2 linked regions of the Oryzias latipes genome follow. The protein of the gene in region 2 purifies or fractionates together with the protein of the main gene of each other region. This does not show direct contact. Links are inferred from orthologs where the notes say so. Each region holds a gene or a part of one and is shown on either strand. Other genes may lie near its edges. The genes, in order: rptor and braf.

Evidence for each region.
Region 1: the proteins of braf (region 2) and rptor purify together in Homo sapiens (affinity purification with mass spectrometry; 3 studies listed by BioGRID and IntAct, with this or other methods). This does not show direct contact. The link is inferred for Oryzias latipes from reciprocal best matches to the Homo sapiens genes BRAF and RPTOR.

What each region holds. Positions count from the first base shown.
Region 1 is NC_019859.2:4,582,452-4,591,493, reverse strand, and holds part of rptor (regulatory-associated protein of mTOR), read left to right. Parts: coding exon 1-38; intron 39-2,770; coding exon 2,771-2,911; intron 2,912-4,523; coding exon 4,524-4,644; intron 4,645-4,875; coding exon 4,876-4,944; intron 4,945-5,210; coding exon 5,211-5,351; intron 5,352-8,360; coding exon 8,361-8,516; intron 8,517-9,042. UniProt on the Homo sapiens protein: Component of the mechanistic target of rapamycin complex 1 (mTORC1), an evolutionarily conserved central nutrient sensor that stimulates anabolic reactions and macromolecule biosynthesis to promote cellular biomass generation and growth.
Region 2 is NC_019881.2:4,414,691-4,423,732, reverse strand, and holds part of braf (serine/threonine-protein kinase B-raf), read right to left. Parts: coding exon 8,842-9,042; intron 7,767-8,841; coding exon 7,663-7,766; intron 6,770-7,662; coding exon 6,667-6,769; intron 6,591-6,666; coding exon 6,442-6,590; intron 6,106-6,441; coding exon 5,986-6,105; intron 5,899-5,985; coding exon 5,739-5,898; intron 4,798-5,738; coding exon 4,758-4,797; intron 3,577-4,757; coding exon 3,440-3,576; intron 3,368-3,439; coding exon 3,250-3,367; intron 1,294-3,249; coding exon 1,209-1,293; intron 1,123-1,208; coding exon 946-1,122; intron 874-945; coding exon 827-873; intron 735-826; coding exon 616-734; intron 1-615. UniProt on the Homo sapiens protein: Protein kinase involved in the transduction of mitogenic signals from the cell membrane to the nucleus. Phosphorylates MAP2K1, and thereby activates the MAP kinase signal transduction pathway. Phosphorylates PFKFB2.

The sequences.
Region 1 (9,042 bases), on a different chromosome or scaffold from region 2:
AAAAGCTGTACACCCTGCTGTCGGATCCCATCCCTGAGGTGAGAAGTCAGAAACACGGCTGCAGGAAAAACCTCAAGATTTCCAAGTTCTGCTGTTAAAGGGATGAAGTATTTGTGCTGTGTGACTATTTTTGCGCTGCTGGGAACGCGATTCTCATAGGGTTTAACACCTATGTGACTGCTATTCTTATTTGAAAAGAAGTTGTCAGAAGCTGACTCTTCCCAAACGTACCCATCCTGAAGGGTGAGCTGGATCCACAGACTGTTTTTTTTTTTTAGCAGGTATATCATGACTAAAGTGGGGAGCTGTGTGGGAGCCTGAGCTGGAGGAAGACTCTACAGATGAAGCACAGAAACATGACTGTTTTAAGAATTATGCCTTTTTTATCCTGTGCTTGGCTCAGCAGTTCAGTTCTTCTGCAATTTTTTCCATCCAATTCTTCTGAAAATGAAAACATTTTCTGTGACACTTGATGAATCAACTGCTCTTGGATTGTGTAACCTGGCAGATTTCAGGGATTTTGCTCATACTAAAATATTAGTTTGGACTTACTTGGACTTGGACTTAAAAATTACATTAATAACTACAAAATATTTCTGTTCAAAATCAAGCTACATGCATATCTGAGGTCAGGAAGTACAAAAAAATCATTTTGTCTTGATGAGAAGATCCGTTTACCACATTTACAATAGTAATGCCAAAACTGTTGTCTCTCATCAAACGTTGGAAAGGTTTGATTGACAGATTTTGTGTAGCCCGCTTTCAATTGGTAGGGCTGTGGAGTTCCTTCCAATAGGCCCACTCCTGATTGTCAAGAGTAGTTGCCATAGAAACGCTGATTCAAATAAACTCAGAACAAACACTGCTTACTGTTTGGCTCCAACATTGTATCGTGAAAAAAACAGCGACTGAATTGAATTCATTTTCTATGGGTGACGTCGCACTCACTCTGTCCAGTTCAATGTGTGTTACATAAAAGTACAAATACATATATGCGTGTTATTCTCTTGTGCAGATGTAAAAGCAGGACATCTGTCTAGGTAAGGTCTACGTACACTGTCTACTCCCTGCAGAACTGGAAGAGTTAGACAACATCTGCTGGTTTTAAGTGAAAACTAAACTCAAGGACGGTAAAAGGGGGTTCAATTCCTGGAGGGGAATGAGCAATGGTACTGGGGGCAATTACCATATCAATGGCGAGCAGTTAACATCACCCAGTGAGGGTCCTTAGGCAAGACCCTTAACGATACTGCCTCCCGAGCGCGGTTTCGGCTGGTCAAATGCGGAGAAAGAATTTCCCTTCGTGGGATAAAATACAGTGTATAAAAAAAAAAAAAAAAAAAAAAAAAGATTGGACAGCTGCTATGGTCCTGTGACCGACTGATTTCTAAAGAGATGATCATTGCCTCCTATTATCAATGTGTTTCCAAACTCTAGATTTTTTGGGGTTTTTTATGGACAATACTTGAACTAAAACAAGATAAACACCTGACCAAGACCTGTGAGTCAGAAGACCACGTCCTTTTTTACACAGTTTGGCGTTCAAATATGACAAAAAAGATTTTGAATTACCTACAACACATGTCAGTAATTTGCTAAATAAAAAACAGACAAAGAATTTTGTGGATCAATAATTCAGTTTAGATTAGCGAGTTGACAATAGATACCATTTCCTATTCAAAACAATTTGATTAAATATATATTTATTAGTTTAATTTCCATTTTCAGAAATGTTTTGTTTAGTTGTAAAAACTAATTTGACTTAAATAATGACTTATACTAAACAAAGTTGGAACTTTCAGGGATAAAACAATGAGTTTTGACCAAAATAAAACCCAAATAGAAAAGCTATTTCTGCCTTAAAAAAGTAATTTAAATTTTAAAACTAATTTAGAGATCTTAAGAATCAGAATTGCAGTTTTTAATTTTAATTAATCCTTCTTTAAACCCAGCTCTAGAGCTGTATGTCAAAATCTGTTGAAATGTTAGAAGCAGCTTTTAGTTGTAACAAACCCCCGCAGGCTAATTGGTGAACTGCGCCCTGCTCCACTTGCTTTCATTCGGAAATAATCTTAATCTACAAAGATAAAGAGGTTGCTGATTGGTTAAAAAATATACATCCACTAGAGCGAGAAAATCCAAACTGTCATCTATAGTTTTGTGTTGAAAGTGAAGATTATTTATCAGTGTTGCACATTCATAGTATGGGACTCCTCATATGTTTTAGCTAAAAGCTAAATTTAGGTAAATATTTCTTCAGTTTTAGCTCAGTTTGTGACCTAATTTCCTAATTGAGGCTTTTCTGAGAGGGAGTAAAGAAACAGTTATTGTCTTTTATGCATGTTTTTTTCCATATGTCAGAAAAATAGAAGCATAAAGATGTTTACTCTGTTTACTGTCGATGGGCGTGGCCCGCCAAACAAAGCCATCAGGTCTATCCGAGTGGCCACGCCCCCTTCTCTCTGAGAGACTCACTGAAGCAGAGACAAAAGCGTCAATGTTAAAACTCTGCACAAAGAGGCTTCAGGACTAATGATCTCTGCGTTTCACTCTCACGCTGAGCCGGAAAATTGAACTGTAATGACCTCGAATACTTTCATCCACTTGTCTCTATAGTCATTAAAGCATTTTTGTGTGATTCTGGTGAGCAAATATTTGACTTTCAAAGGCTGAAAACTGAGCTCGGACGGGAATTCATTAATGTCATTACAGCCAAGTTCTCCCTGAAGGACAGATAGACGAGCTCTTTGTCTGGTTTGTGTGACTGCAGGTGAGGTGTGCAGCTGTCTTTGCTCTGGGAACATTTGTCGGAAACTCCGGAGAGAGGACGGATCACTCCACCACCATCGACCACAACGTGGCGATGATGCTGGCGCAGCTTATCAATGATGGCAGCCCTGTGGTCCGGAAGGTCTGTGAAGCACAAAAACATCCACATGCTAAGCTCTGTGTGCTGTAATGCTGACTTTAATGCAAAAAATATACATTTAAATCATTAAAAGACAGTTTTTCTGGTGTTTATTCTCTGAGAACAAACGTAGAAATCACATTGCTGGACAAAGACAATTTTCTGACATTTTGGAAACTTCATCAGATGTGTTTGTAGGAATGGGGTGAGTGTTTACCCCTGCCTCCTGAATGCTAACTTAAAAACTAATTACCTCCCAGTTGGAGTCTTAAACTTACAGCCCTGACAGGAGTGAAGCTGCAGAGCTCTCCTCCCACTCTCTACAAATAAAAGCAACATTTCTCTGAAGGTGTAAGCAGCACTTTTAGCACTCCAAAACCATTTGTTTTGAGGAGATTTCTGAGTTAAACTAAGATACTTCCATGTGTGTAACCACAGATAATCAAAGGAAAACATCCGAGACGTGATAACGATTTATACCATGGTCCAGGGGAATACTCGATTCTGATTGGCTGCTGGGTGTGAACTAAAATGTGATAATGGACAGTGATAATGTACACCTAAATATGAAGTTCCGTTCACATAGCCCATATGTTCTGTATCGCTGTACTGGCTTCTTTGAAACAAACTTTTGCTTCATTGTCTGGATAAAAACAAGTGGTGAACCTTACCTCGAAAATTATTCTTTGGATCACTTTTCAGGATTTTTGCACCTTTACTGCTTTCCCCTGCTGGTTAGTCCTCACATCATCTGCAGCAGATTGAGAGGTTCTGTACCCATTACCATGACAATGAGTCACAGCCCATGTTTAAAAGTCTGCTTCTTGTGAAAAACTGATTAAACATTTAAAGGTCTATATCATGACAAAATTCCTTTTTATTAGCTTTTAAGTGTATTATAATGTTCAACCCCAAAGTGGTATTTTGCTCCATTCCAGCATCTCTGAGTATTCCTCTAAAATCCTGCACTCTGAGCACCAGCCCCTCCCAATCCACAAAAACAAGCGGGTCCTCACATTGTGACATCACAAAGTGAGAACAGCCCCTTCCAGGAAGATTTTGCACTGCCATCACGGCTCCCAGGCTAACACACACACTTTCTCAGGGTAGCTAGCTGTGACTGACTAAACATTTTTATTTTATATGTACATCCATCTTTGCAAAAGTTCGGATGTTTGATTTCGTGGGCTCTAGGTTGACGTCACAGGAGAAAAAGGCAGTGCCTCAGAGATCGAGTTTTTACAGTAACTGTAAAAAAATGACTCATATTTAATTAAAAAAAATGTGTTCCTTAGTGTGCCAAAGGTAATATATATTATCATATATTTATCAATATATATATATATATATATATATATATATATATATATATATGGATATGGTTTACTCTGAAAGGCTTAAGAAAAGCATGATATAAGTGTTTAAAAAAAAATCAAGATTGAAGTACTAATAATTTATGTACTATTTATTCCTTTGGTAAGTGGCCATGGTATAAGCAGGAAAAAGCCCTTTGAGAAATTTATGGACTTGACGGAAGCAACCGTCCTACATGACAGGAAGAAAATCTGTTTGGGAGTTACTGGATTCTCTGAATGTGTTTATATTTTTTTTTCAGGAGCTGGTGGTCGCGCTGAGTCACCTGGTGGTTCAGTATGAAAGCAACTTCTGCACAGTTGCCCTCCAGTTTATAGAAGAAGAGAAGAACTACTCGGTGCCGTCACCCGCTAACACTACAGGTACACACCTGGCGACACCAGCGCCTTGTCTCCCAAACTTCATAGCAGCAGCTGCTAAAACATGTCAGCAATCGCAGCTTATGCCATTTCTCCACATTGTTCTGGCAGTTTTTTTCCTCCTCCTTCTGACAAAAACATGACTTGAAAAGGACTTTCCAGTCTGAAACCGTTGAGATGGAGGTGGAGATGAAGCGTGTTTTTCCAAATATGTTTTGCGTTTATCCATCACAGGGTTTAGAATAAATTTAAGGAGGAGCTCAAGGGATCTAAAGCTGGAAATAAGCTTCTCTTCTCAGTCAGGTGTGTAGGGGTTGCAGGGGTAAGTTTATGAGGAAGTTCTACATTCATGGACCACACTTTTGTTTGAAACCTCACTGGGGTTTAATCAACCAATCCTGTTGCTTTATACACCGGGGGAGCACTGAATTCTAGGACAGTAATTACTCTTTTTCCCTAACCTATCCTGTAATTTGGAATCTATTCGTAAATCCTTTTGTGAGAAGAGAAGAGCTTTTTTTTTTTTTTTTTTTTAATGCTCTAACCTGTTGCTGTCTGCTGCTGATTAGAGCCTGGGAACCTCACGCCAGTAAGGGACAGTCCCGCCATCCCCCGCCTGCGATCTGTCAACTCCTACACCAACATCCGAGCTGTCACCACCGCCCGGAATCTGAATAAAAGTCTGCAGAACCTCAATCTCAACGAGGAAGGTGAGACCCCAGGGAAAGCTGGGAAATAGAGGATGAGAGAACATGATAAAGATCACATGTCCGAATTCCCTCGGTACTACTCAAAAGGCAATAAGCAGTAGTGCCAGACTATCCATTATGCATTAATTCAGAAGCACGCTGAATACTTTTTATTTTATTTTTATTTTTTAAGTTTTTTAAATGTCACCTATGACATTAGCCAAACTAAAACCTAGCAAATATTAACATTTGACAAAGACTCAACTGTATCTGATGATGAAAACTTCTATAATTAAATAAATAAATAAACTTCATAAATATTTTTCGTTCAACCACAACGCATAGGTCTATACTCACCAATTTAGTGAGCATCAGTGCGCACAGAGAAATCTCCGGGTCACTGGATGTTAGAATTGTTGATTCGGATTCCGACAAAATGATGAGGGCCTTATAAAGTGCTCTAACCAGGGAGTAGTGAGTGAGTTCAGACACAAACATAACTTTAAAGGAGGGCTACTGAGGATTCAGTTAGTGAAGGAAATAGTAACAATCAGAGTAAAAGATCATCAGAACATTTACTGTACAGATACAGTTGCTGTTTAAAGCCTAAGACTTTCATTATTTTTGCTACAACTTTCTTCTTAAATTAAATGTTGAAGATGATCAGAGTTTGGGGTTGATGTGGCTTTAAACACTTTTGTTCTGAGAGTCTTTCCCCCCCCCAGATTTCTGCAACTATAAATTACTTTTGCCATCTATTTTGCATTTTTACTTAACAGCAGTTATCGTTAAACCTCGTTTTCACCAGTCCGGTTTAGCTAACAACAACAATAGAGGTCATCCAGCAGCTCATTTTTCTCTGCTTGTCTTTTGGTACTTCAAGTAGATTAAGGAATGCTGTTTGAGAGAAGTTTGCCGGCGGTGAAGAGGAGTTCAGCAGCTTTTTTTGGTGCCTTCATTTGTTGTAATCACTTTCAGCCAATCAACGGGTTTCAATAGCAGCTTCGCCCCAACTATTTTTCTGTGGACCTATAAACGACCGGGGCCCAAAAATAATACGACTCACTCCAGCTTAATGGGTCCATTTTATAACGGAAACACTTAAAATACCAAACGGGACTGTACCGGACCACTCAGTGAAAGCGAGGCATTAATGTCTGTTGTTGCTCTTTCCCACTTAAGAAAAAAGTATATTTCTTAGTTTCCCTCCTGGATGTCAGTATTAATATACCTTACTTTTATCATGTATTCCATATTTGTTTACGCTGCTAAGCTCCTCTGCTTCTGGTTGATTATCATCATCGTGACGCGGGAACTGTCCGTGGTGCTGAAGACAAGGAGTCTGCCACTTAACCCACTTTGACCTCACACAACATGTGGGCTTTTACAAATCAGTTCCAACATTTAATATTATTTTAAATCTTAACATTTTTGGGATTTTTAGTTGAAAAACTTAAAACACTCATTTGTTATAATTTGGCTTTCCTGCAGAACAAAAGATAATCAACATTTCAGATCTCCAAGAGCTCCTAAAAATGACTGTATTCTACTTTTTTGTTGCTTGTTAATCACAATGAAAATATTTGACATGGGACACAAAATGTTTATTCATACAAAATATTTAAAAATATGACTTTGCTGATTTATACTGATCAGTGAATCAGACTGTGTACACTGTAATTACCTCATATTTAAATGGTAAGATCTGACAATTCTTATTAAATATTTAAAATGACAGGATCTTTATTACCTCATAACAAATAAACACTGTGAGTTGAAAAGGTGTCTTTTGAAGCTTTAAAAGAAGGGTTTAAGATTCAAAGATTAGTTTGTTTATTGACTTTTTTAAACATTTTGTCTCAGAGTGGATTGTTTTCTTTACACAATCATCAAACATGTATGTAAAAATATTATGTCACAACCAAACAGTCGTATATTTAGGCACACCCCTTCTGAAAAATGACCCATTAGTTCTTGTTTTTAGGTGAATCAGAACCCAGTTTAGATGTTTTGGGTTAGACACAGTGTTTTTAATCCCCCTTTATCTTTTTTTACAAGCCGATATGATCAGAGGAGAAAGATCAATCAGAGCGGTGATAATCGGCTGCAAAAATGTCGGTTTACCAACTGTGGAAACGGTTGACTGCCAGAAGTATTGTTCCGTATTTAAACACCAATCTGATTTCTTACCAAACTGCGACTCTTCTTCTTATGCTGAAGGCGTTAGAATGTGTCGGTTACTTAAAGGAGACTTTTTTCGCCCACTCTCCCTGATCCTATAGATCTCTTTGATACAGGTTGCACTGACACATCTAGGTTCAGCTTTTGCGTTACACAACTCAATGGAATAGTATTCCTTGATCTTTCAGGAACCGTAGAAAAAAAGTTAAACTTGTGGAAGCTCCCATGGAAAAGGTTGCAACTTTTTTACTGAAGAGATTTGTTCCGACTGTCAGTCACATCCCTGTTATTGGACCGTTTTCTTCCACAACCTTTTGAGCACCCAACCTGCCTTGACTTATGTGCTGCAAGCCCTCTGTGTCTCTGTCACATCTCAGTGATTTAGGCTGGTAGGGCAGCTGCACTCTCCCTGTGTACCGCTGCCAGACTGAGCATGGACAAGCCCTAAGTAGCTCTAAATCTCCGGAACTTGCCAAAGTGCCTCACCTGCTGCCGACTCCATTTCTAATTCTCATTCTCGCCGCCTGCCCCAGTGTGCAGGGCTGTTTATCACCAATAAGCTCACAAGCAGGGCAAGTTTCTGTTCTCTCTGTTTCCACATTGCAGCCTGCAGCGTTAGAGGACGACGCATGGTGTTTGGGAGTGTGTGAGTCAGAGCAGCGTTCAGTGAAAGTGAGTTACAGCAGGACATGAATGAAGCTGAAATGAAGTTATGAGAAACAAGCCTTCAAGCGCTGCTCGCATCGTGCGGGCGCACAGCACCTTTTAGGATGTTGACTATTATTTATGAATTCATTTATTTCCTCTGTGAAGACTTAACTGATTGACCACATGTTGTGACTTGTCCAGGTGGACCCGCAGCCTTCTCGCCTGGTAACCTGAGCACCAGCAGCAGCGCCAGCAGCACTCTGGGGAGCCCTGACAACGACGAGTACATCCTCTCCTTTGAAACCATTGACAAGATGCGGCGGGTTTCCTCCTACTCCTCACTCAACTCCCTCATAGGTAACTCTTCCTGCTCTGCCCGTCTCCTTTAACTGTGCGACCTCTTCTATTGATGTCCAATTCCCACCAATGCTGTTTGGCCTGAACCAGTTTGGTACATCAAATACTCCTCTTCTGGTAGAATATGAAGGCCTATTAAAATAATAACAACAATAGATTTATTTCTTGCAACTCAAAAGTGGCCGAACAGGGATAAAAGCACAAACTTAAAAAGGCTTTACAGTTTTTAAAGTTTAAAATTGCAGTCAAGAAGAGTAGACAAGTCTGAGAAGGTGAGTTTTGAGGTTGGACATGAGGGAGTGAGTCCATGATCCAGGCAGAGCGACTGAATGCCCTGCTCGCCATAGTGGCATGGCGGGGATAACAAGTTAAAGGGAGGAGGAGGACCTGTGGGAGCGGATGGGAGTGGTGACTTGTAGGTTGCCTAAGAGTTATGGGGGGGGGGCGAAGTTCTTTAAGTCAGGAGGAGGATTTTGTAGGTGTAAGGTGCTTGAGTACAAGTTTGATTTGATGGAAGGAGGGGGTC
Region 2 (9,042 bases):
AACCGTCTGCAAAGTGATCAAAAAAGAGAAATGAACTGCAGTTCGTGTCCAGCTGGAATTCGACGACACCAAATCTTTGATATATTGGAATAGAGCTGTGAAAGAAAACGCCTGGAGAAAGAGTCACCAGATAGATTTGCACCACTTTGACATGTCTCACCAAGACTTTTTCTTTGGTGAGTACATGCGCTAGCATCAGGTAGCAACTGTCCAGTGTGAACATCGTACGCTAAAAGCGTTCAAGAACGCCCATTTAGAGCGTTCACATGCCTGGTATGAACATAGGATCAAACAACACGCAAAGGAAAGTAAGGGGAAAGTAGGCGAGTGCGTCAGTAGTGTGTCGTACGAATTTTTCACGTACGACAATCAATCACAATCAATACACTTAAACACGAACGACAACGGCACGTTCCATTTTTATGACATCCCTTGAAGTGGCCGTACGAGCCTCAAGGGAACTGCAAGACACACCCTTCAAGATGCAGCTCTCTACAGGCCCAGACAACCCAAACACCCGCAGCACCCGTACAGGTCAACCCCCCTACGGATGCGTGTGCCCACGGCTTAGGTTAGTTAAAGAAGAGTTGAACTGGTGAGAAGGTGGTAACCAACCATCCAAAGGATGGAGCCAGACAGCTGTTCAAACTGGTGGGAGCCACTCCAGCGAGATTTGACTGTTGCCAGGCCAAAGTCTCCAATTTTCACCGTCAGGTCTTCATGTAGGAAAATATCTGGGAGGAAATCGGGTCAAGGACATGTTTTCAACAGGGTTCCCCCCCCTCACTCAATCCCTCCATCAAGCAGACCAACATTATAAGGATACTGTTGCTCTTTAGATCTCTGTGGATGATGGACTTGGCGTGCAGGTAGCTGAGGATGGAAGCAGAGGGCTTTATGGGTAACTGCATGCCGAGCGTGAGTAAAACAGGTAGAGGAACTCACTCCATGCCCTGGGCGGTCTGTCGGGCGATGTCGATCAACTTGATCATCTCAAACTTGGTCTCGATGATGTGCAGGTGGTGGTACAGACTAGAACCCTCACACCACTGGGTCACGATGGCCAGCTGAGGCTTGGTAGTGTAGCCCATGAACAGTAGGATGTTGACATGGCGCGTTTTCCTGACGCAAACACACCTTATTTAGCCTCTGTTGGAGTTTAACAGAAGAAAGGCACTGCGGAGTGACGACCCATCCTAGGGAATTACCTGAGGACGCCTACTTCATTCTTGAAGGCCTGAAGCTGCTGAGGCGTGGGATCGGTGACGTTCAGCATCTTCACTGCCACGTCACCTATGACAGGAGTGTAGCAGCAACATTTAAGAAACATCAGAGCAGGGATGCAGGGAGCCACACGAAAGACATTCCTGTTATCTCCTGCTTCAATGTCAAACCAGAAGTATTAGTTCAAGAAGATTGGACCAAAGATGGAAGAACATTCCATCTAAAGCACATCTGAACTGCAGGCCAAAGGCCGTATCACACAGCCACTGCGTTCATTTTGTGCATTTCCCACGTATGAAATGTTGCTGTTTCATGATTTATACATAATTCATGAGTTTTTCTTGCGTTCGTCACGATGTCCCTCGAGGGTATGGGCCGACTGGTCTTAACGTGAATTCGGTTTTGAGCCGTTTACGATTTTTGGTCGATTGAGTTTTTTTTACCTGTTTATTTGTACTTTACATAGTTTATACTCAATTATAAAGTAAATCTTACGTAACTGTGAGGGATTTTTGTTAGATGCATACTGGGGATAGGCTGATTTCATTTTTTCCGGCCAAAAGCAATAATTGATATTACCCCTACAACTGTGGCCGATAACCGATATTTAGGTGTCTACAATAACCAAAGTTTATATTTCCCTTTTGTGTCTTTATTAGAAATGCACAACTTTTCGTTTGCTGTACAATCACATTTTGCTTGACCTTTTTAACATACAAAAGGGATCTTAAAGGAGCAAGTATCACTTTAAAACTTTGAGTATATATTTAAAAACATTCATACTATTGATTGACTGTAGGACACAACTGTAAACCATAAGCTTCCTAGTGCCGGGGATCTATTATGAACAAGTGCCCATTTCAATAATAAAGTGTATTTGAAAACAGTCAGACAAGTACTGGTTGATTTTTTTAAATATCGATAACGATACAGATTGTTAGAAATTATGCAAATAAATATCCGATACCGACACCGACGTCTCACCCATCCCTAATGCGTACGCACATTTGTGGCTGTCCACGGCCGTTCCACGTATGTCTAACGGACTTTTCACGCATGTACCAGAGATGTTTCACTTTACAGCGCATTTATCTTTGAGCTTCACTTTTGAATTTGTTAACTCATTAATTATTGTGTTTTTAATTGAGTATTTCTGAACCTTTGGACCTCTGTTTTGTACACATTGTCCTTGAGTTTCTTGAAAGGTGAATTTAAATAAAATGGATTATTGTTTTTAGTATATCACATTCAAATTACTTAGTTGGACCACAAATCACTAATGAATTGAGTATAAACAGCACAACAATCACACACGGGTCATCTTCTATGTTTTACGGGTTCTTAGCGTGGTTTATTCATACTTTTTCCGGGGTTTTAACGTGATTCTTTCCTGATAAAGAACCTTTCTGACTTTTTCACGTATGACCAGTTTTCATTGGTGCAATAGCTCCAAATGTACGTAGTGGCTGTGTGGTACTGCCTTCAGATTCCCTCACTTCCAGTAACTTCACCCAGTATAACATTAGTGTAGTGTATGGACTAGATAATTATTTGTCTCCAACTCTGACTACAATGTTCCTGAAAGTAGCTGTAATATTTATGACCTACCCCGGCAGTTAGCTATCTACTTCATTCTTACAGTGAAGACATTTTACTTCATCCTGATTACAGATACCAGTCTATACTTTTGTACATTTATGTTCTGGGGGGTATAAGGTGAGGACTTCTCTTAGCAGGTGACAGTAAACATCACTGATATCCAGCTCTGTATGATGAGACGGCTGCATTTTCACAGTGACCGAATCCCAGAAGTCTTTCTTTCCGTCTTTGTTTTTCAGGGGATTGACATGGTACTGAATGAAACCTTAAAGTCTGTATGGGTGCACACAGACTGGTAATGTTCTGAACTAAACAGAGCAGAAGCTCCAGTTTGAGCTGCCATCTTGGATTGTTTTGGCTTGAAGGAGAGCAGAGAGGTTACATGACTCAGAAGAGTCTACAAAATAATGCTGGTTGGATCCATACCGTGCCATTTTCCCTTAAAGACGGTTCCGAAGGATCCGGAGCCTATCCTCTGACCCAAAGTGATCTGGCCTTCCGGGATCTCCCAGTCGTCGCTGGAGTCTCTCCTGCCCAGCGGTTTCTGCTCCACAGGACAGGAAGTCAGAGCGACCACACGCTGTGCCGCGGCACAGCCCTGACTGACGCCTCTCACCATCTTATTGCGATCCTCAGAGGATGAAGACGACTTGCGCTCCCTCTGTTGACACGGCGACTTCTGTGGGACTTTGACGTTGGTCAGAGAGCCAGGTAGCGAGGCTGGAGGCGTGGCCGATAGACCGGTAGTGGAGCCTGAGGGAGGATGATGATGAAGAAGAAGGTGGATCAGGTGTGTGAGGCTCATGAAAGCTGGAGATTTCAAACTTGACGTCATCTCCAGTCCACCTGCAGTCAGAACCTCAGAGCACGAACCCAGAGTTTGTTTCTGTAATCTCAGGTTTGTTGGCAGAGACAAGTCTCCTTCGGCTGACTTTCTTCCTAAAACACTAGGGACCCCCCCAAATCCAACAGTAGGTCATAAATTTGTGAAGGGGGGGCTTTGAACTTAGATGTTTTTATGCAAGCATCTCAGTCACATTTACACAAACATACAAGCACCGTGATCAAGACAGGAAGTGTCAGTTTGGCTCTCAAAGGCGCATTCAGTTATGAGGAGCTGCTTCCTCCTGTCCTGTGTCACATAAGTCCAGTGATGGGGAGTTCACTGAGCCGTCCTCTCTGAGGCTCAGTGTCATGGTAGCCCTCGGTTTGAAGACCGCCAATAAACTTCTTTAAAACTGTGACTAAAAGCCGCTAGAAACGGAGCTCAGCGAATCTGACGAATGAGCAGAAACACCTCAGCAATCATCAGCACGTGTGACGATGTCTGACAGACATTTGACGTATTTAATGATGGGAGAGGATTCACCCCAACAGCTAAGAAGTCTTTATGAAGACTAGACCGTAAATTCAAAAGGACTCCTTTAACCAACCCCTGCTGGTTCTGTCAGGTCATCGTGTTGTTTTTTTTAAACCTCCTCCATCAGCAGAAGTGCGCTGACACTCTGACATCTGTTCTGTGGTTACTAGAAGAAAAGTCTGAAAGCAAGAATGCCACATACTATAGAAAAGATGAGCATAGATTTAAGCTAATTTGAAAAAGTGCAGTAAGATGCACTAAAACTCTGTGAATTGGCTGTGAAACAGATTTGACAAAAGTTGCTGTAATTTTCACCTCAATGTGTTTTCTATGCAGTTATGATAAATGTTAATTTGCATCATTTAAACCTAAGACAAAGCTTGAATGTAGAAATTCCTGTTTGCAAATGGCCATGGAATTGAAATTGTGTGTACATGAAGGCATCGTTCACTGTTGGCTTTAACGTTGACATGCTTCTGCCTTGGGCTGCTGTGCACTACAGCCCTCAGACATAATGATGGACAGGTGGAGTTCCAGGTTGAGGGGGGCACATGGGTAAAGACTGGGATCTCACCTCCGTCAGACCTCTGCAGGCCCTGATCCCGAATAAGGTCCTGGAACAAGGGAGGGAAACATCAGCCAGAGGAAATGGACTGAGAAAGTCACAGTCAAAATGTAAATGATTCCTTTTTCCCCATTCAGTTTAAACCGGTCAGTATCTGCGTTTCCTTTACACACAAACGTTATCAAAAATCTAGGAATGTCGAAAAAACACAAATTCTCAATTACACAGTTTCAATTGAACCATAATTATGCGAATAAACACAAACCAACTAGTGATAACTCATTCAAAATCATAGTGATGGATGAGGAAAGTACTTTGATTTAGAACCGATACATTCAGATTTCTGCCACGACACTAACCTCATCATTATGTAATGTGCAACAATGATTACTGACATGTTTTAAATTAGAATAAGCTATTGATCTTATCTACTCGATCTGCAATGTGTAGCAATAATTACTGGTTTAATTAGTTCTAATGATAATCAATGATTATTACAGATCAACTACTGTTTACTGACAGCATGAATGAATGTTTTCTGAAGATAATCAATCCTTCATAAACCCTGGATTCTGTTACTTGAAAAGAGATTTACTGATCAGAACGGGATTACAAAAACTGTGTAAAACTGTCAAATTTATTCATTTATTAGGGTTGGGATTTTATAAGCTCGATTCTTCCCATCCTTTTCAAGAAATAAAGCAAGTTTTACATGACTTCAGGTAATGATCACAATATTTAATTAAGCAAATGTTTTTTTGTTTTGCTTTATATTTTTTAATTGATGAAGTTCATCATTTCTGTAATGAGTTTGATAAATCTGTGTGAATTCTTCACTGCTTTGACTACAAAGCGTAAAATCAATCAATCAATCAATAAATCAATCAAAGGAGACGTCTGCGTCTTCGTCAGGCTGTGGAGAGCAGTGAGCTCCTTTGAGGTGAAACCGTTTTGGGAAATGGTGGTTGGTGATTTTACAGAGAAACTCACATCGATGTTGACAGGCTCAATGGTGTTGATATGGACGTTGGGGGCCGAGGACGAGCGGTCCCGCTGGCCAAACTGGTTGCGGTGGTCTTCCTCGTTGGGTCGGTAACTAGGCGGGATGGGGATGGACTTGGAGGGGGACAGAGTGGGGTGACATATAGACCTGAAGACAGAACAAAGAGTAGATCAATGAGCCTTAAGGCCACTTGACTGCCAAACCCCTCCGAAAAGCGAGAGGACGAAGGCTCACCCTGTGGAGTCGGTGAGGGGGAGGTGTGGACAGACTTCAGACACGGGGGTGGTTCCCTCTGAGGAGACCTCCTCATGGCTGAACGGGTGGTGCTCAAAGAACTTTGACACGAGCAACAAACTGCAGAAAATAAACGAGTGATAAATGAGAACTCCAACAGCTCAGACAGGAGACAAGCCATGAACCAGCTCAGTGGCCCTGTGGTAGAGTGTCCACCCGGAGACGGGAAGGTCGCGAGTTCATGGCTGGGTCAAACCAAAGACTTTAAAAATGGGACCTAGTGTCTCCCTGGTTGACACTCAGCATTAAGGGTTGGATTGGAAGGTTAAACACCCACGGGGTTCCCGAATGCAGATGGGGGGAGAGCAAACGCATGACAGCTAATGGGGCGCTAGAACAAACATGGCGGCCTGGAAACACACCCGCGAGGTGAGGAGGTGGACTCTCTGGACTTACTCCAGCTGGTCGTAGTTGACACACATGAGGGGGACCTCGGTGCTGCAGCGCTGGTGGAACTTGTAGCCACAGGTCTGACAGCGGAAACCCTGGAAGAGCAGCTTTCTGCAGAAATCACAGAAGGCCAGAGTGAAGAAGGTCTTCCTCACCTGTGAAGCACACAGACAGAAAGTCAAGGTTAGAGGATTCGGACGCTGCACCTCAGCCCCCTTACCCCCTACTTACAAAGTTGTGAGTGGTGAGCGGCACGTTCTCCAGCACCTCCACATGCAGCTCCTCCCCCGTCAGCCAGGAGATGTCGGTGTCCCAGCCTATGGGCTTCTTCTCTCTGGCACCAAAAGTGAAAGTACTTTAGAGGAGAAGTTGCAGCCCGTTGCCAAACACATTGCCACACACGGATCTGCGCCCACTCTGGTTTCCATAGAAAACTGGCCTGACCTGTTGAGCTCTCAGACTCAATAGTTTTCGCCTGTTGGATGTTACTTCTGTGTGCTGCAGGTCCTCGTTGGGGCGTCTGTACTGTATTTACAACACTCAACATTTCCACCAGCTCATCACCGCACACATCTGCATATTACGCTAACATATACCTCTAACTTTTGTAATAAATAGCTTTAAATTTCTCATTTGCCACTTTCTCTGGTCTCCATGTTATTCATGACTTGAACAAGTCAGTTTCAACAGTGCAGAACGATGGTTAAAGACCTAAACGGAGGAAAATAGTGTTTTGAACATGTTTTTATGGCATTTTTCAAATGATTGAGGACATTTTTATAGAAAATGATGCTTGAAATTACATTTTGGAGTATTTCTTTTTCCAAATCAGGAGCAGACAAAAAAAAAAAAAAGAGATTATTTGTGACGTACAAAATACACTGAGCGGACCTCAAGCTCCCTGCTCTGCTCCATTCTGATGCATCAACTTGTAGACAAATAGATCCATGAACGTCTGGAATCTAGATCCAAACTAGAGGCGTAACGATTAATCCACAAAACGATTTCTATTCCTGGTATAGAACAGATCGATCGGTCTGAGGCAGAATCGAATCGAATCAACCTATACCATTAAAAATAATTATAGGGCATAAGACCAATACGTTGATGATACACGTTACGATCTGATGCGCCCTATAGACATTTCTGCCATCACTCATTGTGATCCTCCTCCTTAGAAGAAAAGGCTTTGGTTTCCTTGAGTAGGGCAGATGGTGTCAGACTCACCCGTCCTGTATCCTGTAGACGGCGCAGCACTCGGGTATGAGTCCCCTCATCATCAGAGCCTTCTTCAAGGAGTCTCTCACCGTCATCCCGCAGCGGGCTGGAACCTGAGGACCACACATATCACTAAGGACCAATCAGGCTCAGACCATTGACCTGTTCAAAACAGGAAGTACTGTTGGTTCCAAGAAGCCAAAAATTCCATAGAATCTATAGCGAAATAAACAGCTGTTAGTCAGTCGTTCTATTGGTCAGAGTAACCATACTTGATGTGATACCTTTTTTCTTAACATGTTCTTCATAATCCTCATTTTTTCACGATATTTTTTGTAGTTCAATCAGATGCCTCAATAAAAGTAGGTGGTCTCACGTTGAAACCGTTTGACACATTTCGTGGAGCCTGCTCACAGTGGTAGGGGTGTGGACTTCCAACAAGCTCACTCCTGATTGGTGGTTGCCATAGAAACGATTACTCAGACCTACCTGGACCAATCACTGCTTATTGACAGTCCAACATGGTCAAAACATGGAAGGCATCCATATCACGGATAACGGTGACTGTATTGACATCACGCATTGGAGCCAGAAATAAGACATCTTCTATGAGTGATGTCAAACTCACTCAGTCCAGTTCTCATATACAGTCAATGGTTCAGACATTACAAACGGAGTTGGTGTACCCTGGACTGATCTGGTTAGAAGTAACAGGAGATCCTGTTCACTGACAGCCAGGTAGATGCAGACCTGATAATATCTTCTCCCCTTTGAAGCACTAAGTAAACGTTGGCATGCTGCCACTGAGGAAGTGGAGTTGTGACAAACAGAACACGCCCTCAGAGGTTTTACATATCAGGAAAAAGCAGAACTTCCTCCAGACTCATCTTCCTCAACCTCTCTGTTGCGCATGTGCTGCTGTACAGGAACCCTGGACCCCATTCTATGACCTTTTCAGCCTTTTCTGTAGACACAACCATGCTGGAGGTCATTGAAAACCTCTATTTAAATAAAGGTTTCAGGCCCTCCCATTGGATGATGCATTCATGGTCATTAAAACCGTATAGTCAAAGCAGAACCCACAAGATGTTTTCATGTGATCATTTGCTTATTATTTAAAACACATGTGGAGGGAAAGTGAAGTGCTCTGGGGTTTCTCAGAGTAAATGAATGAGTCATCAGACTTACCACTGTTCTCTGCTTGTTGGGCAGGAAGACCCTGACGATGGGCTTCTGTGGGGACCGAGGGTTGCCTCGGACGGCGTCTGTGGGAGTCTGCAGGACCGCTAAACTGTTGGGCGCCGAGGCAAAGGACTGGACCCCCCCTCCGACCCCCAGGCTTCCCATCTTGACCTCCAGCAGGGCTGGCACAGGGGAGGGGCTGCAGAA